Arabidopsis thaliana: one gene and its partners. The protein of the gene in region 3 interacts with the protein of the main gene of each other region in a pairwise test. Each region holds a gene or a part of one and is shown on either strand. Other genes may lie near its edges. The genes, in order: AT3G07260, BMY2, AT4G03250 and GRF5.

Evidence for each region.
Region 1: the proteins of AT4G03250 (region 3) and AT3G07260 interact in a two-hybrid assay, tested with the Arabidopsis thaliana proteins (one large-scale study listed by BioGRID).
Region 2: the proteins of AT4G03250 (region 3) and BMY2 interact in a two-hybrid assay, tested with the Arabidopsis thaliana proteins (one large-scale study listed by BioGRID).
Region 4: the proteins of AT4G03250 (region 3) and GRF5 interact in a two-hybrid assay, tested with the Arabidopsis thaliana proteins (one large-scale study listed by BioGRID).

What each region holds. Positions count from the first base shown.
Region 1 is NC_003074.8:2,306,620-2,313,385, reverse strand, and holds AT3G07260 (SMAD/FHA domain-containing protein), read right to left. Parts: upstream 3,778-6,766; 5' UTR 3,683-3,777; coding exon 3,100-3,682; intron 2,929-3,099; coding exon 2,756-2,928; 3' UTR 2,403-2,755; downstream 1-2,402. Other genes in the region: AT3G07255 (nuclear transport factor 2/RNA recognition motif protein), read left to right, coding at 5,060-5,513, 5,670-6,097. UniProt on the Arabidopsis thaliana protein: May play a role in the control of plant organ development. Does not show transactivation activity in yeast.
Region 2 is NC_003076.8:18,350,409-18,359,355, forward strand, and holds BMY2 (beta-amylase 2), read left to right. Parts: upstream 1-3,116; 5' UTR 3,117-3,185; coding exon 3,186-3,704; intron 3,705-3,877; coding exon 3,878-4,105; intron 4,106-4,189; coding exon 4,190-4,270; intron 4,271-4,413; coding exon 4,414-4,617; intron 4,618-4,740; coding exon 4,741-4,935; intron 4,936-5,056; coding exon 5,057-5,221; intron 5,222-5,310; coding exon 5,311-5,571; intron 5,572-5,652; coding exon 5,653-5,865; intron 5,866-5,953; coding exon 5,954-6,173; intron 6,174-6,262; coding exon 6,263-6,288; 3' UTR 6,289-6,480; downstream 6,481-8,947. Other genes in the region: AT5G45290 (RING/U-box superfamily protein), read right to left, coding at 1-119, 213-419, 501-1,409, 1,484-1,684.
Region 3 is NC_003075.7:1,422,260-1,430,625, reverse strand, and holds AT4G03250 (Homeodomain-like superfamily protein), read right to left. Parts: upstream 5,725-8,366; 5' UTR 5,577-5,724; coding exon 5,567-5,576; intron 5,088-5,566; coding exon 4,980-5,087; intron 4,897-4,979; coding exon 4,291-4,896; intron 4,116-4,290; coding exon 4,036-4,115; intron 3,890-4,035; coding exon 3,416-3,889; intron 3,321-3,415; coding exon 3,246-3,320; intron 3,138-3,245; coding exon 3,040-3,137; intron 2,955-3,039; coding exon 2,882-2,954; 3' UTR 2,564-2,881; downstream 1-2,563. Other genes in the region: AT4G03260 (Outer arm dynein light chain 1 protein), read right to left, coding at 1-35, 124-1,366, 1,484-1,534; FH (frataxin-like protein), read left to right, coding at 5,868-6,085, 6,175-6,247, 6,345-6,392, 6,492-6,586, 6,812-6,941; AT4G03230 (G-type lectin S-receptor-like Serine/Threonine-kinase), read left to right, coding at 7,798-8,366.
Region 4 is NC_003074.8:4,604,862-4,612,588, reverse strand, and holds GRF5 (growth-regulating factor 5), read right to left. Parts: upstream 4,514-7,727; 5' UTR 4,064-4,513; coding exon 3,865-4,063; intron 3,586-3,864; coding exon 3,054-3,585; intron 2,976-3,053; coding exon 2,521-2,975; intron 2,437-2,520; coding exon 2,429-2,436; 3' UTR 2,092-2,428; downstream 1-2,091. Other genes in the region: AT3G13950 (ankyrin), read right to left, coding at 7,394-7,646. UniProt on the Arabidopsis thaliana protein: Transcription activator that plays a role in the regulation of cell expansion in leaf and cotyledons tissues.

The DNA of each region.
Region 1 (6,766 bases), on a different chromosome or scaffold from region 3:
AAAAACAAAAAAACAAAAAAATCTTCCATATTCACTTTTGGTAATTTGTATAAAAAAGTTAGTCATCTAGTAATAATTATTTTAATTATTTCAGTTTTCCATTAATTATAAGGTCCATTAAAAATTAAGTTGTTGCCCCCAAAAATGTTATAAAAAATTAAGTAGTTATTATTTATTATTTTAAAATAAATTAGATAGCCCATAGTATCCAGTGGTGATTAAGAAATTTGGGGAAGTGAGTGAGGCTAGTAGGAGTTAAATGGGCTTATTCTATGCCTCAAATTGTTTTTTTTTTAATCATATAACGGAGAAAAGGGGAAAATATACGATTTCAACCCAAACTATATCTATCGTACATATTTATACGCTAATTAAACTTACCATGAACACAATTTTTAACGCCAAATAAGGACTATTTAAATGTGTTTCACGATATATCTTGTAGATCATGTTGTATTTCGTAATAAATTCATTGTTCAATGTTCAGGTAATAATTGTTGTCGTAAGGTAGTTAGAGAGTACTTCACCAAAAAAAGAAAGTAGTTAGAGAGTATAATTATATTAGTTCGGACTGAAATATGTTTTTACTCGTATATACGTATAATAATCGACCATTTTCAAATACTTTTCGTTTTGAAACAACTTGCAATATAACATAAGAGGATGACATAGCCATATCATTAGCACATACCACAATTATTAACACATAGATATCTCTAAAGTAGGTAGTTCCGTAATTAGTATTTAAACAAGATCATCTCCAATATTCCATTTTTTTTACGGACCATCTCCAATGTTCATTTTTATATTATTTTTTATTTAAGAAATTTTTTTTTATATAAAAAATTTTAGTCCATTATATATATCTAAAATAGAATTTTCTCTAAAATAAAATAAAGGCACATTGAATTATTCTCTATATTTTAAAATCTCCTTTAAAATAAAATAAAATATGCATTAGAAATGTTTTAAATCATATTTTCACTTATCCGCCTAGGCTTTTAACATATGTTTACTATTTTAATTAATGCTGTAATTTTGAAAATCCAAATAACTTCTTGAAAAAGACAAAAAAGTAAAATAGTGTCTGTAACCAATCACTTTTATAGATTTAAATTTGGTCGGATTAAGATTTTGAATTTAGAAAATAGCCTTGTATCTGTATCTAAAAAAAAAACAACGTTGCATGCCACAAGCACGTTTTCCTATTGTTTCTTATATCCTTTTTAATCAAACAAAATTGGAAATTTCGAGGTGATAAGAAAACCAAATACAAGAATCTTATCAAAACCTAGGTTAAATACTTACTAATTAATTTTGATGCTAATCTAATTTTGTAGCAAGGGTAATGACTAATGAGCCTGGAAACAAACTTCAGCTTTACAATCACTGTGAGTTTGTGACTGCAGCAGAAGATTAAAAAAGAAAAGAAAAGAAGAAAAAAACTTCACTCAATGATTGAAAAAAAAAAAAAAAAAACTTCACTCAATATATATATATATATATATATATATATATATATTAATATTAGCAACTCTAAGCACCAACTTCACTCACGTTATCATATGCATCAGTTTTTTTTTCTAAGAATTTTGTCATGCATCAGTCTTTTTCTATTGTTTTTGTAAGTAAAAAAAAAATCGAAGAATCTTACCAAAACCTACGTAAAATACTAAATAGTAATTAATTTATCTCACAAAAAAAACTTAAAACTATCACTCAATAACTTAGGGAGATTTCTCTGTATATTGTTTTAACTTTTAAGTAATAATTTGTAGACAAATAAACATGTAAGCAAGTGCAAGTTGTACGGCAGCAATATATAAAACGAAAGTTGGTACTAAAGACGAAATTATTGGAAAAAAAAATAATAAATGTTATTGCGAACAGCCTAGATCTTGACCACCGATAAAACAAGAGAAGAAAGTTGATTTTTGGGTTTGAATAAAGTGGTTTCAATTTTCATTAGGCCAAAAAGTAAAAACTTAATAGGCTCAAGTTTGTAAAATAAACTTCTAATTTGTGATGATCACTCTTGTGATGTGTTATGTGTTAAACTCCAAACGTTTTTGAATGATTGTATGTGTTGACTTTTAACAGTGTATGCGTTGACTAAGTGATGTACAGTAATGAGACGGGGAAAATCATACTAATATTTCCTTCCGACAACTTTATCTGTACTATGCATAGTACTTTTGAGACAACTTTATCTGAATTTTGTATAGTATACTTTTGGGTTGTGATATATTTTCTCGTTTGATTTTTCTTTTCAACTAAATAATATGCAAACCAAATCCGCTTTCGCCATAAGAAAACAACTAAAAGGTTAAATTTACCCGAGAGTGTATTAATGTTGAATAGCCATATAGGCTATAGTATGTATATGGCTGAAAATAGCTTATGCGATTTCTTGAAGAGAGAGAAAAGGTTAAATCCGAGAGTGTTTTACTCATCAATGTCATTGTCATTCTACATATACAACGTAACAAAGAAAAGCGAGAAAAACTTAATCCGACGAGTCACCAAGGTCAAAACACCTAACACCCACTTATACACTCATTACGTGGAAACATAAAAGATATACTACCAATCATCCTGCTCCTGCACTAACAATCATCTCGATGATTATGAGAGTAGGGTAACGAGGGAAACGAATTCAAGGGTAACTCTTCCCTTTGATCTCGTGTTGATGACGAAATGCTCCGGGTATTTTCTCAGCAGCATCAGCAAACCGTACCATGGTTTACCTTTTGCTTCAGGGATAGCCCAGTCTTCTTGTGATAGGTATCTTCTTACTCGACTGTGATGCCATACGTTTCCATACTCCTTTAATATCTGTCACAGACCAACCACTACCATGCATTAGCTGCAAAAATTGTTGATCATCAGCTTCACGATCTGCCTTTGATCTTCCCTCTCTCTTCTTCTCTGCACAAATGAAGCAGATACAATGTCGTGGTGTCACTATCATTCAATCTAAGTCTAACAAGGTTCAATCATCAACCACCACAGTAAAACTTATACTCAAAGTCTAGAACAAGCCTGAAATCTATTTAGTGACACAATGAAGTTAAGCTATCATGAGCAATTTGGTTTTACCTCCAGAGGCATATACTCCTTCATGTCCATCTCTCCATGTTTTCTTTCCACTGCCTCTGATATCCTCCTCTTCATCGTCGTCTTCATCATCGTACTCATACAACTCTCTACTCCGGACGCCATTCTTACCCGACCCGGAACCTGGACCCGAATGATAATTATGGTACGGAACAACAGTAGCCTTCCCTAAGACGTGGTGCCTGGGTCCCAATGGACCGCCTAGGATACTCCAAACCGGAAGCAGGAAGTAGAACTCCTTGTCACCAATCTGCAAAAGGTCCTGTGAATCGAGCTTGACGTTGGGGTTCCCAGGGAGATGGAGGACACCTTCAACGAAGCAGCCATTTTTGCCAAGTACCTCGAGAGAGAAGCGTCGTCTAGTGAAGTCATAGAAGATCCGAGCGTGGTTGCGAGAAATGTTCATCCCACCGCCGAGAGATGAGAGGTCGACGTCGACGGTCGATTTCTTAGAATTCCGGCCGAGAATAATGGAGTAAGACTGCATATAGTACTCGAAATCCTCACCTTGGAGCTTCGCAAATCCAACCTCTACATCGCTCCCGCTTCCAACGGCTGTAGCCATGCCGTGAAATTTCTCCGATTTTGAAGTCGGAGATCAAATTTGGGGTTACATAGTAATAGAATGTGTTTGGAAACCGGTTTAGATATGTTGTGGTTAAACCGTACAATGAAAAATATAAAGGCTTCTCAAGTAAATGACTATTATACCCATCATGTTTTCAGCCTCTCCACTGTCAATGTTACGGGCCTTACGGCGATCAAATCAAAACGGGCAGTTTGTTTCCACGGCTAACAAAAGAAACAGCTTTAGTTGGGCCTTATCTAAAAAGCATCAGCCCATTAACGTGAACCGGATCTTATGTACATAAACCCAGTAGTATGTAATATTCGGGGATAAGCATGACATTGACATGAATATGGATCATGTGATAACCGTAAGGCTTGAAATTATGATGATAAAATATGATGAAAAGTTCATAAGAATATCGTCACATTTTTGTCAAAGAAATAGCAAAGTCAAGAATGGTTTTCTTTTTCTAGAATCTTTGCTTTACATTTTGTTAAACATTTAATCAACCGAAAAAATCACAACGAGAAAAGAACATTTGCTATATTCCACAGTGTATTCGCAGAATCTTCCTTTGTTTTTCTTGTCAACAATTCAAATAGTCTCAATCCTCTTTCCACTTTCCAGGTGCAATTCATGCAAGAGTAAGGCTGGAACTTGTGATAGCCAAGCTATAATAAAGCAACTTCAACAAGCTATTCCACTATTCGAATAAAGACACGAGTCATCTATCTACTCAACATAATTCTTTACAGCCATTTGTCATCTAGCACGTGCCCATGAAGCCAGCCAAACATGAACCACGTCGACACACATCAGATGAGAATAACCGTTACGGCGTCATTTGCTGACCTGGACTGTCTAACCTATTGCACTGTCTCTCGAAGATGGTCGCCACATGTCAATCCCGGGGTCGTGTTTATGCTCGAGATTCGCGGAGTCAGATACGAACACAAGAATTCAAAACACCCAACGTGTCCTCGTCAAAGCCAGCAGGATCTCAGTGTACACGTGTTAACTGTTTCCATGCACGTGTTACACGTGGCGTCTCGGTACTTTTCGTCAAAATTTTACTTGATTTTTACAACCAATGGAAATAGAAACCAACAAAATAAATGGAAAGCGTTTATCGATAATCCGAAATTGTAGCGCTAATAAAGTTTCTTAACCTTTCTCTTAGTGAATTTTGAAACCGCCCATGTCCACTATCCTTATCGGACATGTGTCATGTTCCGAAGCCTTTACCATTCTCTTTTTAATTATCTCCGCCCCTTATAATATTCCTTTCTCATACAACAAAGTTGGCGAAGCTTCAAAACCCTTCAAGAGGAAAATTTTGCGGAAGACAAGAGACCATCTTTTTGACATTATATGTTTGTTGAATCTTTATCAATGGCAGAAAAGTTTGTAGAAGATGAGAATGTGGAGGTCGAGCTCGAGCTCGAGCTATGTCTTTCCCTGGGAGGTCCTTTCAAGAAAACGGAGAAATCTAAAACATTTGGACAATCTAACGCCGTCGGATTCGAGAAGGATAACGGCGTTAATCTTGACGGCAGAACGACGAATGTGACGAGGATAAAGGAAACACGGAAGAAGCGGGAGGCGAAGCAGCAGCAGAGAAGCGGAGAAGAAGGAGAGTGCAAGAGGATCAGAACAGAATATAACGGAGTTAGTAACGGCGATGATATGGATTTGAGCTCTATCAACATGTGTAACGGTTACGGGTCGGGTCGACTCAAGGAAAGCAGTAAAGACGTTACGATTGGGTCACCCATTTGCACCTCCTCCTCCGTATCCGATCCTAGCAGCTCTTCTCGCCAAGAAGGTATATAACAACCTTCTTTTAAAAATAAACTAAAATTGGTTGGTATATGTATATAGTTTTTTTTTAGTATATAATTCGATGTGTTGATTCTGTTAAAGAATCACGAAAATTATGCTATTTGCATGTAGATGATTTTGAATTATGGTTAATGTTCAGGTGGAAGTGGCGACATTGGGGCACAATCTGGCCAAACCAAACAGGTTAGATCTCCGGTTAACAACATTCTGACCGGTACAGAGCAAACCGTGCATAACACAGACGGTTCAAAAGACGCGGAGACCCAAGAATGGTCCAACTCTTCTGTAACCAAAGAGAGTGGGAAGCCGCCAAAACCGCATACCAACAGTAACGGTAACGGCAGTTTGCTTCCGTTTGCTCAGATGCCTTGCGTGACTAGCACCGGTAACGGTCCCGAGGGCAAAACCGTAAATGGTTTTCTATACCGTTACTCAAAATCAGAGATCAGTATAATCTGCGTCTGCCATGGAACGTCTTTCTCGCCGGCTGAGTTCATCGTTCACGCCGGTGGGACTAATGTGTCGCATCCGTTGAGGCATATAACCGTTGTTCCCTCAACTTTGTGAACTACAAATTTACATATTTTGTTACTCTTTTTGTCTCGTTTTTGTGTATATAAGTTTCACCGATGGACGTTTTGAGTTCGAAGGGACTCTCCATCCATGATTTTCTTAGAGTTTTGTTTTTCCTTGACATTTTTCAACTAATTTTACACTTAATTTGTTGCATTGTCTCTCTTATTAACGTATCAGTAAAAGTGAAGAATTCGTGTAGTTGTATATATATTTGTTTATTTATGCAATTTCATATGGTTTGAATTCGTCAACAAATATTCTCTAGTAATAAAGCAGTTAAAAAGTAACAGATTTTACTAACAAACAAACGAAAACGCTCAACGATTAGTGGCAACAAATGTAAATATAAACATTTTATGAAATTGCATAAATAGGACGAAAAATCCAAATAAAAAGAAATTCTCAGCACCTTCTTTCTCTCGCGCTCTTCGTCTCTTCCTCTGTTCTTCCTTCTGGTGAATAACCGTAGGAACCGCCATTGGAGTGGGTGTGGAAGAACTCGGAGCTACTCAATACTCATATTCAATCTTCTTCACTACTTCGCTGTAATTTCAGGTGAGTCTTCTTTCAGCGATTCCGGTTTATCGTTGGTTCGAGGATTAGATCAGCGATGCATCTTTTGCTTTTGATTTAGTGAAACGTGAAGACAATCTCTATACT
Region 2 (8,947 bases), on a different chromosome or scaffold from region 3:
TAAAGTTTTATCGGTAATAAATCCACAACGTCGTTAGGTGCAGGAACAGATCCTATAGATGATACTGATGGTTGTTGAGAGGATAAGACAACAGATTGCTGATGAATTTCATCAAGAACCTAAAATGAATGCACTGTAGATCCTTAGCATACATGAGAAAGAAAGATAGTGGCAAAAAGCTGTTAGTAGGGAGACCGAAAACATGTATTTACCTCGAAGAGAGCTTCAGCTAGCAATACTATCCTTGAGATGCTAGCTCTTGCATTTGTTTCATCGGTTGTTGCTGTTGTCGAACCACGGTTAGTAACTGCACGGCATGTGCAGCGACCTGCTTGATCTTGACCTGATAAGACACAAGATCTATCATGATGGACTGCGACATTCTCAAACCGGCTTCCTAATCTTTGAAGAGCGCGAACCTGTGGAATTAGTTATATCAGTTAGTTAGATCTTGAGTTGATCAGACACATCAAGGAAGAGAGAATCAATGAGTTTCAAACCTGAGATCTTATTCTCCTCCTTCTTTCAAGGAAATCTGATCTGTGTTCTAATAAACCTTGATACCTCCCTTCTCTCACAAGAGCAGCTGGTGTCTCATGATCCTGAATGCCGAATAAGGTCCTTCGAATGCTAGAAGCGGAACGATTTAGTATAGACGTTGAAGTCACAGGAGCATCCTCTGCTGCTGCGGTTTCAGCAGAGAAGAGATCAGTATCTTCTTCTCCCTGATGTGGCGAGGGACGGAATGCGAAATCAGAGAGTGAAGATCGGCGAAGAACTCTATCACGGAGTCTTCCAACACTCAGAGTTCTACTAAATCTAACATTGCGCTCAATAGAAGGTTCTCGTACAACATGTCTTCTATCAAGAAGTCCAGCATAAGTACTATCCATACCATTAACTACTCTCGGAGAACGTAAGCTACCATCTTCCCCAAATCTCATGGCATCAATATCTCTAACTACATTGTCAATCACAGGAATTCTCGGAGACTCAACTCTATCATTGAGCCTAATAGCAGATTCTGAAGGTGAAGTAACACCATCTTCTCTATGAGAAGAAGAGACTGGATAAGTCGTGTTGAAGGATCTTGAACTTGAAGCTCTGCTAAGTCTAGAGCTTATGTTACCAGGAATGAATTTGAAATGCGAAAAAACTCGACCTGGAGTAGAAGATTCTTGAATCGAACCGCTAACATTTCTCATCTGTACATTGCTTACACTAGCTTCCTCTTCTTCTTCTTCAACACCACACTCATCATCAAGCTCAAGCTCATCACAATGTCTTTCGTTTTCAGATTTCTTATCATCTTTCAATTCTTTATCATAGCAATCTGATGCATCTCTTCTCGATTCCATTCTACGCCGTGTAACACTTCCATGACTCTTCCTCATCCATCCATTACACACCTGAAGAAATCAAAACTCATGAACTTGACCTAATTTCAGATTTGACCAAAATAAATTAAATATCAAAACCAGACCTGTTCATCATTATCATCATCACTGTAATGAGAAGTAGAAGATGAAGCAAGACAAGAAGAGTGAAGACCACAAAAAAGACTCTTTGATCTTCTTCTCCTTCCACCACCACTAGAAGACGACGGAGGAGGTTGAGCCACGTCAGAAGCTTCTCTCGCCATCGCCGACGAGCCTAGACATGATTTGCTCCGGCCAGATCCCATCTTCTTCTCAAAAGCAAACAACTTTCTGCTAAAATTACATCATTGACACAAGACCCACAAGTCTTTTCCCCATCTTCTTCAAATCCACCAATCGAAGAAACCTCCAAGTCAAAATCTAAAGATCGAAACTTTTTCCTCAGATCTTTACATTGAAACCCGAATTCGTCATTGACAATGCAGAATCAAAAGCCCTAATTATTGAATCCCCAGATCTGAAACTCGATCGAGATTGCAAGAATACCTCGAAATCTGAACTTTTTTTATTGCGAGAAATTAATGTAGGAACTAAGCTATGTGTGTTGTCTTTGAATCAAAGAGAAATGCTTTGAAGAAAAGGAAAGATTTTTAGGTGATCGGAGTAATCGAAGAAGGAGACAAAGCACCTATCTGCGATAGAGAGAGAGACTTTTACGGGAAGAGTGTGTCTTGATGTTCGAACGAGAGGGAACAAAAAACCAAACTCACCATTTCTTTATTTTTCTTTCTTTTCTTTTTCAAACTATTATAACATTCTTTTGTTTTCGTTCGATTTTTTAATCTTTTTTGCAATCATAATTGGACTTCATTGAGGACTATAATTGAGAAAAAAGCTTTGAAATGGTCATTGAACAGTGATCACTTAGATGAAAAATAGTTGTAACCAAACCAAACTAGAATATTCAAACTATACTCAAAACTGAAATTTTGTTGACAAAGCCTTTTGGTTTTATAAATTGCGAAGCAGAAATACAAAATCGAACCAAAATCGAACCAAAATCGAATCTATATTCTCAAAAATTAAAATATAATTGAACTACACTAACTTCAAAGAAAGAAAGAAAAAAGATATATTAAAAATAGAAAAAAAAAATGAGTTGAAAAAAGTAAATCACAATAAACTAAAATATACAAATCATTTTTTTTTATGAAGTGATTGTTTTCAGTATTTTACAATTTAGATATAGTGGCATTCTAGCTTCAGAAGATTTTTGTTGGACCGGCCCTGTAAAGTCGATTTAAAGACCAAACAAAAACTAATTTTAACATGATAAAATCGAATCAAATAAACGGAAATTCATTAACATTTTATTTATAATTATAATGTTAATTTTACTAAAACCTACCTAAAATAAAAACCTGAGTCAAAATATGTAAACTAATTTTAACATGATTTTGGTTTGATTTACTAAACCAAAATCAAATCAAAAGACAAATTATGTATTTATGTTATTCAGTTTTTCTTTTCTAAACTAATAAAACCATGAAAAAAAGGATTGGAAACAAAACCGTAAAACCCATCGTGTCATTCCTAACAAACCCATCAGTAATTCAGTATCACTTTGTCAAAACTGGTCACATTGGCTATTGTTGAACAAAAAAAAAAGAGAGGTTTTTGACCAAAAAAAAAAAAAAAAAAGGAGGGGTTAATATTGACGATTTTGATAATGAGAGACTTTTAACGTAATTTATAATAATTACCGACGTTGATTTGTAAATCCATAAAGTTACAAAAAAATCTCAAATGTGGGAACAGCACAGAAGCGAGCAACTTCACCGCACAAAAATGCATACTCTCAACAACACCATCACCACCACCACCGGTTCGCAAGATCCGAATCTCGACCCAATTCCAGACCCGGATCAATTTCCCAACCGGAACCGCAACCAACCACAATCTCGCCGCCCTCGCGGATTCGCCGCTGCAGCAGCAGCAGCGTCGATAGCTCCAACGGAAAACGATGTAAACAACGGAAACATCGCCGGAATCGGCGGTGGAGAAGGAAGCAGCGGCGGCGGAGGAGGTGGAGGAGGGAAAGGGAAGAGAGAGAGGGAGAAGGAAAAAGAGAGAACGAAGCTTAGAGAAAGACATAGACGAGCAATCACTAGTAGAATGCTCGCCGGATTAAGACAGTACGGTAATTTTCCGTTACCGGCGCGTGCTGATATGAATGACGTAATCGCTGCTTTGGCTCGTGAAGCTGGTTGGAGTGTTGAAGCCGATGGTACTACTTATCGGCAATCACAGCAACCAAATCATGTGGTTCAAACTTCGAAACTCTCTCTCTCAAAATTCAAACTTTCATATTAAGCTATTTAAGTTAGGGTTTAGTGGAAAGATGATAAATTTGATCCCAAATATGTGTGAAGCTCTTAAAGTTATAAGCTTTGTTCTGTTATTAATGTAACATAGATTGTTTAATATTATTGGATTAGGTACAGTTTCCGACGAGATCTATTGAGAGTCCACTTTCTTCTAGTACATTGAAGAACTGTGCTAAGGCTGCAATTGAATCTCAGCAGCATTCAGTTCTTAGGAACGATGAGAAACTTGCTCCTGTGTCTCTTGATTCTATTGGTATTGCCGAGAGTGATCATCCCGGGAATGGAAGGTATACTAGTGTTAGTCCTATCACCTCCGTTGGATGCTTGGAAGCCAATCAGGTGAATGATAAATTCATTTCCTTATTAGGAGAATTGACTTTAAGCTGGACGTTGTTTCATCTAACCACTTTGTTTTTCTTTCAGCTTATACAAGATGTTCATTCCGCAGAGCAATGTAATGACTTCACAGAGAGCTTTTATGTCCCTGTGTACGCCATGCTTCCAGTGAGCTTCTGATGAGAGAACTTTGTGTTTTAAGTGTATATATATGGATGTTGCCCAATAAAAAAGAGTGTACATATATTTCTTACCAGTTTTGCCGCGATCCTTAGTTTTCCTGTGCTAAAGTTCTGTACCTTGTCTTTCAGGTTGGCATTATAGACAACTTTGGCCAGTTGGTTGATCCTGAAGGTGTAAGACAAGAATTAAGTTACATGAAGTCATTAAATGTCGATGGAGTAGTAATAGATTGTTGGTGGGGAATAGTTGAAGGATGGAACCCTCAGAAATATGTATGGTCTGGCTATAGGGAGCTCTTTAACCTTATCAGAGACTTCAAACTTAAGCTACAGGTGTGAATATTTTTACTTGTAGAGCTTTGTTAAATACATCCTATGTGACCAAACTGTGACTTTCCCTATAAAGGACCGTCTTTTTCATAATATCTTAGCAATCAGTATATGGTTTGTTTGAAGGTGGTGATGGCATTTCATGAGTATGGAGGGAATGCATCTGGGAATGTGATGATTTCGTTGCCACAGTGGGTGTTGAAGATTGGGAAAGACAATCCAGACATTTTTTTCACTGATCGTGAAGGAAGAAGAAGTTTCGAGTGTTTGAATTGGAGCATTGACAAGGAACGGGTATTGCATGGACGAACTGGTATAGAGGTACTCAAAGAACACTCATTGCTCAGAAATTGTTCAGTATTTTGGTATATTATGTCTCATTTCCTCCTCTTTTGTACTGTCTAGATTCTTATTTCTTCCTTTTCAACACTTGATTATCCAGGTCTATTTTGATTTTATGAGAAGCTTCCGGTCAGAGTTTGATGACTTGTTTGTGGAAGGACTAATTACTGCGGTTGAGATTGGTCTTGGAGCTTCTGGTGAACTAAAGTACCCATCTTTCCCAGAAAGGATGGGTTGGATTTATCCCGGTATCGGTGAGTTTCAGGTATTTTTCAGATTGCTGAACTTTACTTCTACGTTCTAACTTATGACTAGTGAAGTTAACATATCAATTTACTATTTTTCCTATTGCAGTGTTATGACAAATATTCGCAATTGAGTCTGCAAAAGGAAGCAAAGTCACGAGGATTCACTTTCTGGGGTAAAGGACCAGAGAATGCTGGTCAATACAGTTCTCATCCACATGAAACTGTGTTCTTCCAAGAAAGAGGTGAATATGACAGCTATTATGGCCGCTTCTTCTTAAATTGGTACTCACAATTGCTAATTGGTCATGCTGAGAATGTTCTGTCTCTTGCAAATCTCGCATTTGAGGAGACGAAGATTATTGTCAAGGTATAATCCTTTTGGCACTTATCCTTCAAACCCAGTGATGCCTATAACAATGAGACTCATACACCAAAAACAACAATGCAGATACCGGCAATATACTGGTCATACAAGACAGCTAGTCATGCTGCTGAATTAACTGCAGGATACTACAACCCTTCAAACCGTGATGGGTACTCTCTTGTTTTCGAAACTCTGAAGAAATATTCCGTGACTGTGAAGTTTGTGTGCCCTGGGCCACAAATGTCTCCCAATGCGCATGAAGAAGCATTAGCTGATCCAGAAGGTTTAAGTTGGCAGGTAATGACACTTTTTATTGATGACTATAGCTTTTTTTACTTCTCAGCAAATGTAATCTTAACCCTAAAGTTTTGGTTATTTGTGGCAGGTGATCAACGCAGCTTGGGATAAGGGACTTCAAATCGGTGGAGAGAATGCGATTACTTGTTTCGACAGAGATGGTTGTATGAGATTAATCGATATAGCTAAACCAAGAAACCATCCAGATGGCTATCACTTCTCCTTCTTCACATATCGTCAACCTTCTCCTCTGGTTCAAGGATCTACTTGCTTTCCAGATTTGGACTACTTCATTAAACGCATGCATGGTAAGATTTACCCGCACGCTTGATTGTGCCTTCCCTTTAGATTCGTTGTCAAAATCTTTGTTCTTACAACTATATTTGTTTCTTTGCAGGCGACATAAGAGATAAACAGTTTTAGGATTTGCATGGTCTTAGGATTCTTTTAGTAAGTGTCTTTTGTTTAAAACTTCAAAATCTGTTTTGTTTTGTTTATTCTCTCCTCAAGGCCTATATTTAAGACGATTGATCTTGTAATCTTTAAACACCTTAACACTTCACTAGTTGAAGATGAACTAACTAATTAAATTCTTAAATGCATTCTAATCCGACTCGCGTAAAGTAGACACTTGTTTAGTTTTATTTTGAAAAATACAAGAAGGTATTGATGTCTAATGAATACAACCGAAAAGTGTTGCCTAACTCTTATACCTTTTTGTCTAAATTATTCTTAGAATAACCTTTTTGACTATATATGCCCGAATCCGATTACATTAATGGTATTAATAATTTTTGTTCAAAGTTACATTTTTCTTTTGTATCATTCAAATAATATTCTGATAAAATCCTGATTTTTCATGATTGTATTTGACATTTTAGATCCAACCAAATCTTTGAAGAACAAATAAAGAGGGGAAAAAAAGACCAACATGTCCTTTTGCATTCAGTGTTAATTCATGGACAATATAATGTTGGTCCGTACGAAAATTTGATTTTGTATCTAAAGAAGCATAAGAAATAGGGTTAGTTAACCACAACGAACAAAGCCTCTATTATACATATCTAAATGTGGGATAATGAGGCAAAATGTCCAATATGATTAATGAAAAAGATGGAAAAAAAGTCTTAGGTGGTGTGTGATTTAAACTGTGTTTTAATTACTTTAAATGATATGAAAAATCTGTTATTATTTAATCAAGATTCTATTAAATTCTGTTAAAGTTTTTTTTTTAGTAGTAGAGGGGAAACAACCGTCTCCCGCAATTTATTGAAACTGAAAAGAAATTACAAAACGGTAGGCGGGTGAGCCTCGGAAACGCAGTTCCTCGGACATCCTCCCTTACAATCTCCTCCACCAATGAGGGAGCTAAATCAAACTAATGAATACCTAAAGATAGATTAAAAGCATAGTTCGCTAACCCGTCTGCAAGGCTGTTAGCCTCCCTATATACATACGGTTAGCTTCTCTGTTTTAGTTTGATGTTATTAGTTTTTGATTTATTAAAAAATCTTTAAAACTCTTAATAAATTTGGATTTATTGGAATTATATTTTAAAGTCATTGAAAATTTTGTGTTATTCAACTAAAACAAAAAAAATATTTGATTGTTAATGAATTAAATTATTCTGTTATTGGTTTATGATTTTCTATATTTTTACTAACAAAATAAAATCATAAAAAATATAATCGAATGTTTGACAAAAAAAGTATAATCAAAATAGAGATATTGTTTGAAAAACTTTACAAGATTGTGAAAAATTAATTTACATGATTATAGAAAACTCTCTAGCAATAGTTTATCAACAATGATACATTTTTTTTGCTTTAATTGAATATCACAAAATTTTAGCTATAAAAACATGAATCTGATAATTCCAAGAGTATGAATATTTTAGATTATATTTTATAAATCTTAAAACTAATAAAATCAAACTTTAACAAACAAAAAAAAATGAAAATGTTGATTAAATAACAAAAGATTTTACATAATATTAGAAGTCACTAAAACTCTATTTAAATCACAAACCAATAACATCATCAAAATAAACAAAAGAAAAATATACGTCATCAACGGCGTTTACTATTCTGAACGAAATTGTATAAATCTCATCATCACTAACCTAAAACCAGCATAAACCCTAAAATTTTCTCAAAACCCCATAAACGGTAAACCATAAAGCTTCAAAATTTACAGAGTTTCCATCAGAATCTGTTGATATCTAAATTCATTTACCCGTTAAACATTAATAAATAATAACTGATAAAGAATTCGAAAACAATATCTATATAGCTCAAAAACCCTAGATCCTAACATTTCAAAAACAAAAACATTATTCTTAAAGCTTCGAAACTAAAACAAAGACTTAAAAAGTAAGGAAAAAAACAACAAATTATCTTGATTTAGATAAAACCCAATACCGAATCAATCAAATCACACAGTTTTCAACAAAAAAATTAGACGAACAACAAACAGAATAATTGTGTCAGATCTGATAGTTGGATCCTTATTTTTTCACCTCGGACTCCGATTCAGTTGATACAAGACGGGAGCTCACAAACCAACCATGACAAGACACGTGTCGGTGTCAGCCAATCAGTTCCCGACCTGCACCAAGCGAATCCGAGACCGCCGGTAACTTTAACAATCATCGCATCTCTCTCTCATCAGAAAAAGGTGAAAGAGAATAAGGAGGAGAAAACAGTTACCAAATCCGGCAAATATTTTTTCTGTGATTTTTAGGTCTTTCTCAACTATCGATAATACTTTAGCAGCCTCCTTTAGTGGTATTTAATGAAAATGATAAACCAATTATTTGTCTACGCGTGTCTCTTTGAAAAGTCTTCTGTTTCTATATCTGCACGTTGACCTAACGTCGGAACTCGTCACCTGTGACTGTCACGTGCATGCGTCTAAATCAACTATTTAGATTTTTGAGCATTACTAGTGACTATGTGATTATATAAATATTGACATAGGGAAAAAAATCACACAAGGATTTGTATAAACAAAACTTTATTTATTACCAAATACATACAAATCCCGGTTCAGTCCGGTTTGGCTAGATTAATAATTACATTCT
Region 3 (8,366 bases):
TAAACCTCGAGGAAGAGCACCAGCGGTTATTCTAACTGAAAGATGTAATAAGGCCAGTTAAATAGAAGAAACAAAAACAATCAGTATGTGAAGAAGATTAGCAAGAAGGGAAAATTTAGCTACCTATAGCATTTCCTGAGAGATTGAGAACTCTCAGACCAACAAATGCACTGAGGAATGGTATCACAACCAGACCATGACTAACCAGCTGGGCTGTGGTTGCAGAAGCACTTAGAGAGGATATATACTTTTTCGCAGCTTCCATTCCAGGAGTTAACTTGATGGCATCTACTTTAGCAGAAGATGTTGCTTGCTCATTCAACACGACGGGTTCTCTTGGCAACTCATCATCGTACCCTGTTATTTCATCAGCTTCCTCAGACAAGTTTACATGCTGAAGGTCATTGACCCAATCTTCGATACGCTTGAATTTAGAATCCTTTCCCGAAAATTCTGCTTGCTGGTTTGTTGTTTCTCCTTCAAGGAACTTTGATAATTTAAGCTCATCTGTTGGTGGTACGATCCAATCTTTTGCCAAAGAAGAATAATCATATGAATCATCATATCCATCCTCCACGAGATTTTCCTTGTTGTTATCTCCAGAATTATGCATATCATAGTCCCGATCTTGATCTTCCTCTTGCTTCACCTCTTCATCAGTCTCATGGACAGATTTATCTGTTTGGCGAGTGTCGAGGGCATGAAGGTCATCAGAGGATCTAGAGTGGTGAGAAGAATATTTGAAAGGTGAAGACTTCTCTGATGAAGAGTCAGCAATATTAGGCAATGAATTCGACCTCACCATCAAAGGTGAATCATGAGGTGTTTGACTGTTTGAGTTGTCCATCTGTTCACCATATAAGGAGGTATCATCGAGTTGACGGCTGTCTTTATCAGTATGATGAAGATCTCCAACCGAGAAAATAGACCCACAGAGTGCTTGATTTGAACCCTGGTAAGCAGAAACAGAAGCTCGAGGACCTTGCTGATACAGATTAGGACTTTCATCTACACGCTTGCTGCTGCCTGCCTCGTGAATACCACTCTGTTGTTCAAGAGAATTCGGAGAAGTAATCCGATCTGATGCATCGTCTGTTCCATTCTCTGTGGCATCCCGCCCATCCAAGTATAGTTCATTTCCATGAGATTGACTTTTCTTGAGATGCAGTACCTGGTGCGTCCCAATACCATGCTCAAGAATGCCACTGGGCTTAATTTCCTCAGATTTCCAGACACGCTCAACAGCGGCTGGCTTGCTGTTTTCACTAACAGAAGCAATGTTTCTCCCAAATATAATTGAGCTCAATCCTTTTGATTTAGACCCATCTTCTTTGATCACTCGTTCTGAAAATCCTTCAACAGATTTCTGCATCACCAGAACATAGAAACAAATTAGCATTCTCTTATTGGACAAAGGAGTCTTGGACAGAGAATGTAAAACTATCGTTCTAAAGACACAAGAGGCAATGATGGTTCAAGTTACCTTAGGTCTATGGCGGTGGATGTGAGCGTTGAAGCATGAAAACCTGACCATTGTGTCAAACTTAATAACATCGAACTACATCACCAACGGAAACTAAAAAAGCAAAACCAAACCACAAAAAAACGGTTCTTTACTTTACAACCACAACTAAACTAGAAACAATTAAGATCCAAGTTAAGTTTTTGCACGAATAAAAAGTTCTTATAAAAGCTTAAGAGGTGGTATAGTGGGCGTAGTAAATGTTAGCCGTAATCAAGGGTAAGACCCTCAGAAACACGACGGAGCCTCCAAATGATAGAAGCTAGAGAAATCCTTGGAAGACAGAGTGAAGTCACCACTTCAAGGCCACCCCACACCTGCGCAGAGGTGCGAGAAGCACACGACTTTGCAGAAGCGGCCAGAGTGAAGAACAATTGTTTCGAGCTTAATAAAGCCCCAGTCCCTTTGTTAATCCCCAATTACTTGGTCACCTGAGGAAACAATTGAACAAGAGAAAAGGAACAATTTTTAACACCGACCGACAAAAAAAGCAAAAAGCTTGCAAGTCAGATTACAAAAAGGAAAGAAGAAACAGAAAACAAAATCCATAAAGATCATCTTTTTCAATACCTACCGACAAAAATCTAATCAGCAATCAAAAACATCAACCGTTGGACGAAATTACGGAGACACAAAGGTCAACAAGTTCACAAAACACAAACCCGTAATAACGAAACACGAACAAGTGATGGAAAATATCGCAGGAACTAACACAGAATCGGAGAACAGTGGAATCGTCGTGAGAGAGAAGAAGAAGAAGAAGAGAGATTCTTACCAGGGAGGAAAAGGATTGGATTTGAAAATCCAGATGAATAATTGATTAAGCGTAAAGATTCGAAATCAGTAGCAGAGAAACCAAAAAAATTATCTTCAAAATTTGAGTTTGAGGCAAAGCAACGCTAACCCTAAAAGAAAAAGAAAAAAACCTTTTTTGGCCGAATCAAAATTGTACCACATACTTTCTACGAAAACTAGTCAACGGCTCTGATTTTTTCTCATGTGACGAAATCTCCTAGTCACACATTTCCGAACCGCCTTTTACGACTAAACCGGACTATCATAATATTTTGGGCCTAATTTGAGCTTTATTAATAAATGGGCCTTACTTTGGTTATTTTGTAATCACTGGGATTTACATACTCAATTCGGTCAAACCGGTAACGGTTTAGGAGCAAATTTAAACAAAAAAAGGCTCATTACTGGCTCACTGTATCTCTTTGGGGACCGTTTAGTTACCAAAATGAAGAGAGCTCTAACTTTTACCAATTACACGATGCAACATTTTCACATCCTAAACCGGTTTCATCATATATCTATACAAACCGGAATTTCCTAATCTTCCTTTGTACCTTTCTTTACTTAATCCATTGACGAGCTAGATTCGTCAGTCTCATCGTCCCCGCTTAAACTAGAAGGCAGTTCCACACCAGACCTACAAACATAACAGTATGATCCAATAAGCCGATTTGATATCTCTTTGGGACAATAAATGCATTACACAATGGTTGGTTACTAACCGATTTATCTGGCTTTTTCGTTCAAGAATCTCGCTGTATGATGATGATTTTGGTGCATATACTTGCTGAATATACCCATGTTTCACTCGTTTGGCAACCTATTAACATTCGTTAAAGGTCAGAACACGAACTTGATAGAGCCTCTAAACTTTGTTAAAATATACATCAATATCTATATTTTTAAGATAGTTAACCATCAAACTCACCGGTGGTTCATCAGTCGAATGCAATTTCTCTCTCTGCATTTTCATTTGATTCCTCTCCCCGTGATATATTCCTGCCTTTAAAAGAAGATATCACACAAAACACAAGTCATATTTCCATAAAAGGGCAAGAAAGGAACATGTAGACATGGAAGTATTAGACAAATCTTTACCATCCCAGAAGATGGACCTCTATCCATTGACTCAGGGGATCTGCTTCTACTCGGAGGTAACAGCTTCGAAGATTTAGTGAGATATCCCGTCTTGCGTCCGCCATTAGATATATTATTATCATAATCATGAGACTGATTGGTTTCAATATTGCTTCCAGAAAGATTTTGGACGTTGGCAACCAGATGGTTTCTCGACCCTTCAGCCCAACTTTTGGAACTTATCCAACCCTTCTTGCTGTTAGTTACAGGGATTTCCCGTGGTGAACCTTTGAATGTCTCTTTAAACGATTTGTGGCGAGGTACAGAATTATAGAAACTGGTAGAAGGGGATTTCAGTCTTGGTTCCCCAAAACTTTTCTTATCTCTTAGACCAGGCTCCATTCCAACCATTATGTTGTCATCATCATCATGCTCATCATCCTCTGAATCTGGATCTGGCGAATGCAACTTTGATTTACGAGCTAATTCATAGCTCTATAAAGACATTAAGACAGAAAACGAAAATATTAATAATACTTCAAAGAAAGTAAGATAATTTAGCCAAAGAATGTGATGGCAGACTAAGATTCTAGTTTATATTATCTTCATGGGTATGTAGTATACAGAAAATGTTCACTTACAGGACCAGGATTAAAGCTCTTCCTCGTTCCAAGTAAATGTGGAAGGTGAGGCCGTCTCTGATTCCCAACATATATTGGCTCTGACAAAACAGTTGATAGAAAAAGCAATCAAATCCGACTGGACATGGGTAAAGGCATTCACAATCTGACACACGAAGAAGATGGTTTTAGCTTCTCTGAGCCACTTACTCAATACTCATAACATCATAAACCAGAAAATTAAAGGTAAAGTTGAAACATTTTATCATGACTCACCGTGAACTATAGGATTAGTCTGAGGCTCAAATGCACCGGGAGGAAGAGGATCAAATTCAACCCCCAGAGGTGGACCATCCTCTTGGTATTGTCTTCCTAATTGTCTCTTTACGGCAGTGATAGCAAAATTCTCACTCTCTCCCTTCACTTTCAAGTATCCCGAAGGCTTATTATACCCATAGCTTCTCATGAACTGAGGATGCTGAATAACGTCTTTATGTGCAACATATCTAGAACTTTCCACATCGCGAATTCCATCTTTGCTAGAGACAAGATTCTTACGTAATGATGAGCTACGATCAGAAGATGTACTATCTTCACCATCAGCATTTCCCATATAAAGCCTTTGACTTTCAACTTCCCTAGGCTTGGGGTTCCAATAATCCGTTTGCTTTGTACTACCACATGAATCCTGTCGAAGCCCACTTCCACGATCCTGAAGAACAACGCTTGACCGATCTTGGCTCCCAATGGCATTCCCATCTTCTTTTACATGACGTTTGTCTTTTAACCTTCTATGGCAGAACCAACCTGAAACTTGCTTCTCAGTTAATCCAACTTCCTCTGCTAACTTGCCCTTCATTTCTTCAGTCGGATACTTATGCTCTGTAGAAAAACCAAATCACACCTGTAAAGCATATACAACTTGGTATAAAGGAACATATGCAAACAACAAAGCCATAATTTACCATTGTAGAAATTCTCAAGCGCCATAACTTGCATAGGAGTCTTAAGCTTCCGTTTTTTGCTGTTTTCTGTAGAAGCTTTATCGCCATCAGCGGTCGCTTCGCCTGAATCTATCGAAAATAGCACATAAAAATCAAAAACATAAGAAGATAATAGTGAAACACGGACACCATTCAATAACCAAGAGATGCAAAGCCCTGACCAAAATCAATTTCATTTTACAATCATGCTTTGTGTATTTAGAAATGTTGCTAGTAATTCCGAAATTCAGGTAAAACATCTACACAAGCTTCACATAAAAGGGTTTAATTTCAGAATTATGGCTCTTTCTCTCATCAGCCAAATACTTCTAAACCCAATCAAAACGAACGAAAACTTTGGAATTCCTTAGCTTGAATAATTAGTAGTACCATAAAACAAACCAAAAAAGGCTTAAAATTTCCAATGCCATTGATGAATTTCGCTAATTAAAACTACAAAAACTGGGAGTTGCATTGTAATTCGACGAACTCGGGATCATTAAAAACTATTCTCTCACGTAAACTCGCAGGAAGACAGAGATTGAAATAGAGGAAAAAACGAATTTCACCTGAGTGCATAGCGAAAATTCCCAGAGATTGAAGGAACAAAACCTAATCAGCTCCCAAAAACCCAGATTTTTTTCTTTCTCCTTCTTCAAAATTCTGGTTTTTTCTTATGAGAGGAGAAGAAAACTCTTCTTCGCACACAAATGACAAATCTCTTGAGAACCATACCGGTTTCAGTAAACCGGAACATGGGAAATACGTGAACCGGGTAAATCTAAATTTGGGCCTTATTGTGGGCCTAAATTGGACAACGAAGGAATAAGAAGAAGAGAGGCGTCGAATGTTTCTTGTGACAGAACCGCCATGGCTACAGCTTCAAGGTTTCTTCTACGGAAATTGCCGAGGTTTCTCAAGCTGTCTCCAACTCTTCTCCGTAGCAATGGCGTAAGAGTTTCAAGCAATCTGATTCAAGATTCCATAGAACCGTTGGATTCCTTCTGGAGAATAGGATCTCGAATCCGCCATGATTCTTTGACTACCAGAAGCTTCTCTTCTCAAGGTCCTGCTTCTGTCGATTACAGGTACTTTAATATTCTCCATTTTGATCTCCTTTATTGTATCTGAATCGTTAATTTCATGAGAATATGAACAAAGTGGAAGAAAAAAACAGTTCGGTTTTGCAGGAGGAAGAGTTTCACAAATTAGCCAACTTCACAATTAATCACCTTCTTGAGAAAATTGAGGTATTTGAAGCTGGAACCTTTTTCTCTCTAGGGTTCTTCGTTTTACTTGAGATTGCAATAGCTTACACTATGTTCTACTTGCATGATTCATGTTCAGGATTATGGTGATAATGTTCAGATTGATGGTTTCGACATAGATTATGGGGTAAGGATTAAACTCTTTTAAGCAATTTAAGATCTTGTTCATATTTCTGGAAATCTATGTGTACTTATTATAGTCAGTCCTTTTGGCTGTTTCCAACAGAATGAAGTTCTTACCCTTAAGCTTGGATCTTTAGGCACTTATGTACTGAATAAGCAAACTCCAAATCGACAAATCTGGATGTCTTCACCTGTGAGGTAAAGATTCTTTCTTGCCTTTTGAAAGTTGCTAACTTTAGGCGCCTAGATTGAATTTCGCATCTGGATTATCATGTTCTGCTCTCTCTTCTGATTTTTGTACTCATGATATTTGGAGAAATGAAACTGTTTATGACTGTATAGTGTTGTTGCTCTTGACTTTGTGCTTCCACATCTTAGATTCACATTAATGTAATCTTCATTCTTCCTTTTGTCTCGGTGCAGTGGCCCTTCTAGATTTGACTGGGACCGTGATGCTAATGCGTGGATATATCGGCGAACTGAAGCAAAGTTGCATAAACTCCTGGAAGAGGAGTTAGAGAATCTATGTGGTGAACCAATCCAACTCTCATAAAGAAGGCTTTAAAACAATATTTGTGAGCGAAAGGGTTTCATCTATGAACTTGAAACTGCTATACCCTGTTAAAGGTATATCTATGAAACATCCAGAGGAATAAACAAACAAGGCAGAAGACAAAGTTGTTTTAGTGTGAAAACTGATTAGTGTTTCTGAATCTATTTTTAAACAGTAATGTCTCATAGTGACATTGTTGCAAGTCTCTTTGTTTAATCAGAGCTGAAGCTGCCTTTTACAGGTTTACGCGTTTTAGATGAAAACATTTCTTTTGAACGACAAAAGTCCTACATTTGTCAAAACTCCTCGAATCTCACAATAATTTCGGAAAAAAGTTGGTTAACAATGTTTGCAGGGTCAATCTCCACTTCTTCGAAAGCACCAATAAGGACAAAAGATTGACTTCTTCAACATCATTGTCCCCTTTTTCCAGTAATTCACGTTTAGGTACCCCTATGTCTCTCTCATTGTCAAAAAATACTCTAAAAGTACGTATTATTCAAAAAATGTTGGATCTTTTTGAACTATTTAGAGATCCATCGCGGAAAAAGTTGACACAAAGTGCGTGAATTGGTCACATGTGTATCTACATACAGTGGCTAAGAGAGTGTAAATAGTATCTACTACTTTCATGGCTTTTGGTTCAGATGCTCAAGTGAGACTTGTTCTGCTTTTTCTTGGAAACATCTTAAAACACATGATTAGCTGCGTTCCACATATTTACTTTTCAGGTGGGTCTTTCGTTGACGTTGAGGCAAACTTTTTCTTTTTTCGTTAGACACGTTTTGAGTTGAGTTCTTAAGCAGAAATAATGGAGATATCAGATGAGTAAAAAAAAGCTAGTACTGGTCAGAGAATGATTCTTTCTGTCTTCTTCTATATGTTTTTGCTGCATATTCGTCGATTAGATTGTTTTGTTGCAGTTCAAGACTCCAAAACATTGTTCAAAGGTTCAACATTGATCAATGACAGCCATGGAGAGACTCTTGTTTCAGCTGGTCAGAGATTTGAGCTTGGCTTCTTCACTCCTAATGGAAGCTCCGACGAAAGAAGGTACTTAGGGATTTGGTTTTACAATTTACATCCACTGACTGTTGTCTGGGTTGCAAATCGTGAATCTCCGGTTCTTGACCGTTCCTGCATTTTCACCATCTCTAAAGATGGGAATCTTGAAGTTATTGATTCAAAGGGAAGAGTGTATTGGGACACCGGTGTTAAACCTTCCTCAGTATCTGCGGAGAGAATGGTAAAGCTGATGGATAATGGTAATCTTGTGTTGATTAGTGATGGAAATGAAGCAAATGTGGTTTGGCAGAGTTTTCAGAATCCTACTGATACATTTCTCCCAGGGATGAGGATGGATGAGAATATGACTTTATCATCATGGAGAAGCTTCAACGATCCATCACATGGAAATTTCACCTT
Region 4 (7,727 bases), on a different chromosome or scaffold from region 3:
TGAATCTGGTAATACGCAACCTCCTCCTCTGACTCCGCCTCAGTTCAACACGCCTCCTCCTCCGTCAAAATCCACTATTAACGTTATGAGTCCTCCGCCACCACCATTACCATCACCTCCGCCGCCTCCTCCTCCACCTACTCCTTCTCCACCTCCGCCACCGATTTCAAAACCCCCTCCTCCTCCGCGTGCTCAAGCTTCTCCTCCGCATTCTAATAACAGAGAATCCCATAGAAACCAACCACCACCACGGCGGTTACGTCCCCCATCTCCTCCACCTCCTCCTCCTCCTTCTCGGGTCTTCAAACAGTCAGAGAAAAGTGGATTAAACACAGGGAAAACAGTGGGTCTTGTATTCGCTGGGTTTGCAGCAATGTTGCAGATATGCGTTGTTGCCTTCTTGGTTTTCAAAAGAAAGCAGCTTCTAAGGATGACACATACTTATTGAATTTGGAAGACACATTTTATTGAATTTTCATCAAACCGGGAAACACACACTTTTGAGACGAGGATCTAAGAAAGATTGATTGCTGCAATGATGTTTCCTCAAAGTCTTCATCAGCCTTTTTCCTCTGTAAATGGGTACATTCTGGATTTGACACTTTCCTTCTTTTTCTTCTTCTTTGTATTCTGAATTTTTTTGTTCTTTTAAGGGAGTGTAGTTTTTCATTTACATGCCTAACGATGCTAACTAGAGAGAGGGAACCGAGAGAGTTGGGGGAAAGTAAAAAAAAAAGAATGGCTCAAGTCATGTAAAATTGTTTTAGGGATTCTGTGAGATGATGAAACCGATATCTAATTTCATTTTGTGAGTTCGCAAATGTGTGTTACGTTCTCTACCTCTCTTAATGATTCATGGTTGTACACAAATCCTCTGTTTATTTGTGTTTTCCGATATTTCGGTTTGCTTGTGTAATGTTGTTATTAGGAGTGAGGTTCAAGGCACAGTAAGGTGGTAGGAAGATCAAGTTTCTTTTTTCATGTTATGCTTTTCGTAGACAATAGATTCTTTGTCAGTTCTCTTTGGTTTGATTTTGACGCTTGAGACATTTTTCAGATAGGAACTGCTTAGACTAGCTGTTGGAATCAGAAAATGTCATTCTTTCGTGTCTGATAGCTCTTGGAATCAGAAAGTATCGAATCTTTCATGTTTGATAGCTCTTGTAGTCAGAAAATGTCGGAATCTTTAGTGTTAATGTTGCAAAGTGAAAACTGGCCTCTGGTTTAGTTTAGAACTGGTGGTAGGGCGTATTTGAGAGCCAAGGATGACACCGATTAATCAGAGTTTTTGAAATTTCCGGTGGTCTGAAAGTTCCTTGACCTGATTCGGTTAATGGAAACCGGTCTGGTTAGGATAGTTTGACATGGTTGAAGAATGATAATATTGATTTTGTTGTTCCCTACTATGAAAGTGTTTAGGACGCGTTTTTGTTTGGTATGACCAAAGATGAGCTGGTTTTAATCTGGACCTTATTCCGTTCACAGAATCTTCGGTGGCAACATGCTTTTAAAAATTCTCAGCATACATATTTTATACGTATGAGATTTATATTAAAAATATAAGATTAATGTTGGTAATGACCAATGATTCCAAGTACTCATACGCACGTAAAAGGATTAATGGATCAAGAGTCATGACGTTTTGTCTTTTAACTCTCCCATCTTTCCTTTTGCTAAAGGAGCACATACATGGAAGGAAGCATACACCAAAAGTTGTATATGATTGTTTGTTTTCTATAAACGACAACAAAATTTATGGTTCTTCTTCTTATAATAATAAGTTTAATGTTTTGCCATATTATGTAGAGTTTTGACCATACTCTCGTTTCGTAAATGCGTGATTCAAGACTTGGGCCTATGTAACGTCATTTCATAACCTGCGGATAATCTCAACATACAGCCATTTAGATAGTAATTGATTATTTGTGTCTGTGTTTACATATAAAACTTTAACTAATTGCGGATAATCGTATCCTTTGCCCTACAGAATTTGCAACCTAGTCTACTATTATTCCTCTGCATGAATGTTTTACATTTAAAGTAAGTTAATCAGAACATGGCCTTAGAAAAAATCTAGATTATATGTGTGAAACTATATAGATGCTTGCATCCTAAGAAACAAATAAATTATATATAACGATACCCCTCACAAATCAAGTCATGTTTTCTTTTGTTGCTATCAGCGACAGTAAAATAAAATCTGATTTCTTGAGAAAGCAAGAGAACACATACAGATATATCTGTCGGATCACTTTTTCTTGTTGGACCTAACACACATAGAAAAAGATAGAAAAAATACATATAGGATTCTGCAAACAGTGTCTTGTCTCATTGTTCCACGGAAATAGATGTGAAATGTGACTCTTCTTCAACATTTCACAGTTGTGTGTGTTGGTGCAGATCCATCATTGATGCCAGCTCTACTTAATTAGCTACCTGAGAAAATAAATTTAAACTAATTTTGAAACTATCAATAATTAGCATAGATCATAAGATTACGTCTGCAGATTAATTAATTACCAGTGTCGAGTCTTGAGTGGGAAGAAAGGTCAAGCCAAGAATCTGAACTGTTCTTGTTCTGTGCCCAGTCCTCACCAAAGAAGTGATGTAGAGACTTCTTGGACGACTCTGATGAATCTTTCTCATCTTCTTCTTGATTTTGATCTTGTCTTGATGAGTTTGCAAGGACACTTCTTGTAGGTTTGTTGAACATGTCGGCGCCCAAAACAAAACACTGTTGCTGTCTATGATCATGATCATGATGAAGATGTTGAGATGATGATGAGGATGAGTATGTGTGATGATGATCAATCTTATTATGATCAGTACTACAGTGGTGGTACGGATCATTCATCACTGTTGCTAACGGTTGTTGGTGATGATGGTATGGAGAATCTTGAAAGCTTCTAGATGCTTCTGGAAAGAACGTTCTCTCCCCAACTCCTCCAACTCTCTCCCCAATCCCTTGAAAGTACCTGAATTCAAAAAACAATCCATCAATAAAAGTTTCCATAAAAGATCAACAAGAGAAACTAAAGATAAGATCACAGAACCTGAAGTCTTTGTGGTCAGTAGCAGAGGCTAAGACATTGAACTGAGAAGTAGAATTAGTATTTTGATGAAGTGACAAAGCGGAAGCATGATGAAGAGTTTGTTGTTGTTGTTTGGGTGAAGTAGAAGGATAAGGATAATCAAGAGAATGGCTGTTGAAATAACCTCTAGTGTTACTACTACTTCCACCAAGCCCAAACCTATTACTGTTACTGTAGGCATCCATTGAAGAAGAAGAAGCAGAATAAGTAGTAGAAGAGGAATTAGAGGAAGAAGAAGAAGACAAGGTGGGACTTGGGTTGTTGTTGTTGGTGAATGAGAGAGATGGTGATGTTAAAGGAGTTGTTGTTGTCTGATTCTGATCAAGAGATTTTCTGGCACGGTTTCTTCCTCTGTGCATGTGTTTTTCACAGTACTTCGAATCTGGGTAAGCTTCTCTTGAGCATCTCCATTTCTTACCATCTGTTCTTCTGCATCTTCCTGGCTCTGGATCTGGTTTTCTCCCAAATCCCATCTGGTAACACCCCCATCCAACTGCATCATTTAATTAAAACGAAACCCTAAAATTAATCATGATGTAAAACCCTAATTAGGACCTTAAGTTCCAAAATCATTAAAAGTAAGACTGTGGAAACTGAGTTTTTAAAAGTGGTCGTTGAAAAAAAAAGCTAGAGACTTTAACCAGAAACCAAATCACTCTAAAACACATAAAGCTGAAAACTTTGGGGGCATGAGAATCAACAAAAGATTGAAACTTTATGCAAGAAAAGAAAACATGAAAGAAAGAAAATTAAGTATAGGTATAGGGCTTACGGGATTGGTGAGGAAGGAGTCTAGAGACCAAGGAAGTGTCCAAGCTTCTTCTAATGGAGAAGATGAGCTCAGGTGGGACAGGAACACCAGAGACCATGTACTTGTAGATTAGGGCTTGATGTTCCAGTTCTTCCCATTGTGTTGGTGTAAATGGAGGCCTTCCTATTGTTCTCCCGCTACTTCCACTTAGACTCATCATCTTATTCTCTAGCTTTCTTCAGATAGTTTATATATGTAGCAAATTCAGAAGCATAAAAGAAGGAAGAGAAAGAGCTTTCTTGATGGATTCAGAGATTAGGGCTCCTGAGTTTCGGACAGAGACAGACAAAGATGACCACTTTCTCTGTCACTCTTTTCCTCTGGTTTGATATCTCTCTCTCTCTCTCTCTCTCTCTCTCTCTCTCTCTCTCTCTTTCTAAGCATATATTCCTCAGATGCAAATTGCATGAACACTAGCTAGGTTCTTTCTCTACACGAGGCCACTCCCTCTTTTATATATATACCCTACTTTTTTGTATTGAGGAAAGATAAAAGATTATTACACAATAGAGATTACTATACAATTAGTCACACTCTAGTAGGGTTTATTTTGGGGGGAATGGTAATCAGAAAGTTAATAAATCAAAGAGTGATCACAAAGAAGAGAGAGATATTTAGACAGTGTTGAAAAGAAAAAAGAATCACATCAGGACAAGAGCTTTTAAGGAGTTTTGCCATGTAGTGTAAAATCAAAACAACATTAAAATATCCAATATTGTAAAATGTAAAAATAGATAAAATGTATGTAAGGGGGATGAAGAAGAAGAGTGTGGTCCTATAAAGACTGGCAAATCTGAAGAGACTCAGGCCCAGTGTTCCTGTTGCTTCTTCTGCAGCACTTGATGCTCCTGTCTCTCTGACTACTCTTTCCTCTCTTCTCAATCCTTTCTTCATCTTATTTTTCAAAATTTAAGTATTTTTTGAAATTATGTGTATTTTTTTCTATAAAAGTGCATTGATTTTTGGGAATCTTTTTTATTTATTTTTTCCTTTGAGCTGACGCCTTTTTAATTTCAGCTGTATCCCAACACTTGATGGCCTAAAAATGAGTGCCATTTACCTTTTTATTGAGCTCATTTTTTTATTTATTACATTTAGTGAGCTCTGTTATTACTGTCTAAAAGACAGAGGAAAATCAGATAGATGCAAGAAGAACAGATAGATGTTAAAAAAAAGAAAAAAAAAAAGAAGAAGGAAATACGAGTATTTATGAAAAGAATTCGGAATAAGCTTCTTGTATCATCACTGCACGAATCTCTGACTCGGGAGAAGAAACCAAACTTATATGCTGACTTGAAAAAGAGTAAGATTATTTTACAGTTTCTGACGACAATACAAAAGAGAGATTTTTACTAAATTTTCACATTTTCTTCTTAACATCTTTTACATAAGTTGGCAAAATGGTAAATAAGAAAGAAAGAAAAGGGTGTTTAGATGAGAAATAGAGAGCAGGGGAGAGACCATTGGATAAAGAAGGGGACTAGGTTTGTTTGGTTGCAAGTGAAGTGAAAGTACTTTTGTCCTTTTTATATAAAAAATGTTAGATATTTTGTCGTTTTTATTATGTATTTTTTTCGGCATTGGTTTTTACTGAAGAAAAGTTTTCGGAATAAAAAAGAAGAGGAAGACATGTGAAGAATCAGAAATATACAGAGAGGGTTGGGTTCATTAAGTGCATAGAAAAAAAAAAGAGTAAGACTGTTCACTCCTCTGTTTGTTTCTCTGTCTCTTTTCACATGCTCTGTCCTTTTCTCTCCTTTTTTTGAAGCCCCCTAGATCTTTCTCCTTACACACCTACTACTACTATCTACCATTCTTTTACATGCACATCTATAAAGGTTTTATATCTTATGTACATATACATGATACATACATATACATGAGCTGATGAGCATCGACTTTAGGGTTTGAATGATTTTACATAGTGGATGAAACAAACTAGTACAATTGATAACATTGCGTAATAGTAGAATGATGGGATATAGTAAAAAAGTTGATAATTATCGCGATTTCTACAAATTTTTGTAATTAGCAAATACTAATTCAATCATTTGGCGATTACAAATTATATCCTTTCTTCAGTACAAAATAATACATATGTAATTGGTTAATATATAGCTAGTGAAGATCAACCCAAGAAAATAAAGATGGTTACCTTGCGATGACCACGTACTTAAACAAAATGGTGTTCACGCGATAAACCATCATCCTAAATACTTTTGATTATATACATCACCTTCTAAATTGGTTCGAAAATGATATGCATGCGTATATGGAGATATGTAAGATGGTACCTACACATATTAGTTAGAGCTCCACTCTTGTTGGTTGGTCAAAGATATATATGATCATAATCATGGTGATTAAGCTATGAAGAAGAAGGTGGAAAGACCTTTGGACCAAGGGATATTTCCATTTTAGTGCATAAATTTCCATTTTAGTCACTCATCTGTATCATCATCATCTATTCTCTTCTTGTTTTTATTATGTTTTTAGCGAATTAATTAAAATGAAAATGAAGAGTTAATTCAAACTTTTACCAAAAAAAGAAGAAAATGGAGAGTTATAAATGGGTTATATTATAGGAGATGATGGGTGGGTAAATGCAGATATTATAGGGCAAGAGACCTACCTCCTTTTCTCCCTTTGACTCACTTTTCCCTATTTCTTTTTTCAGTTTCATGACATTTACAATTGACATGTTAATACTATAGCCTATAGTCTATACCCTAACCATCTTTTAGGCCTCGAGGGTTCTTTACGATATTCTTCGTTTTATATAAGGGAATATAATACTTTTGCTTCATCATCCATCCAATCACATAAAAATCAACGATTTACGAATATATATATGAAACATTGCTATATTCCACGTTTTTTTATTTACTATATATTCTACGTCAAAAGAATTATCTTGTTTTTTTTTTGAGATGATTATATCTTCTTTTTTTTGAGAAAATATTTATTGCTTTGTTCCGGATATATTAATCTCTCCCATTAACGAGATGCTCACAATCGTTTTTTGTAATGTTTCATTCTAGTGTGCACCGCATTCTAGTTTGTTTTCTTTGTTCTTTTTTTTTGTATTTATTTATTACTGTGTTATACGAGCGATTTGGACTAAGATCATGGTAAGAATAACTATTGGCAAAAAAAAAAATTACCACGATCGTTCACCAATCACGATTCACAAGGCGATATTGCCACGATTCACATTATTTGAACATACAATTTTTAATCAAACGAATTTATTAAACAGTACAAACCCACGCAATTAATTAACTTTACAACAAACCAACCCACACAATTGCCAAGATTCACATAATCAAATGCATTTATTAAACAGTTTAAAAATAACCCATAGAATTAATAAACGTTATAACAATGTCCTTGGGAGACTTTTATTCTAGTATCACTTTCCTACATCAAGTTCCAAATTCATACGTGGGTTCGAAACACGGGTTCCTTCTCTTCTTAATGGGACCTCTCCCTAATGGAACCGTCGCCGACGTGGACAACAACAACAACACATGAAACAAATAAGCCAACCTATAAATCGAACAAGTTGGATTAAAAGTATCAAAACAGGAAATACAACCCAAAATCCCACATAAATCAATAGTATATAACGAATTATTTGATCGTCGGATTGAACCAGCACGATGGCGAAGAAGAACGCCGCTGATATACAAAGAACCGCCACCACCATAAATGTTCCGAGGATAGCCATTATCATCCGGTTCCTTCATATACACAATTATATCATCATATAAGTGTCTTTTAGTTTATTCTAATACCAAACAATTTCTCTACTTATTCTGAGT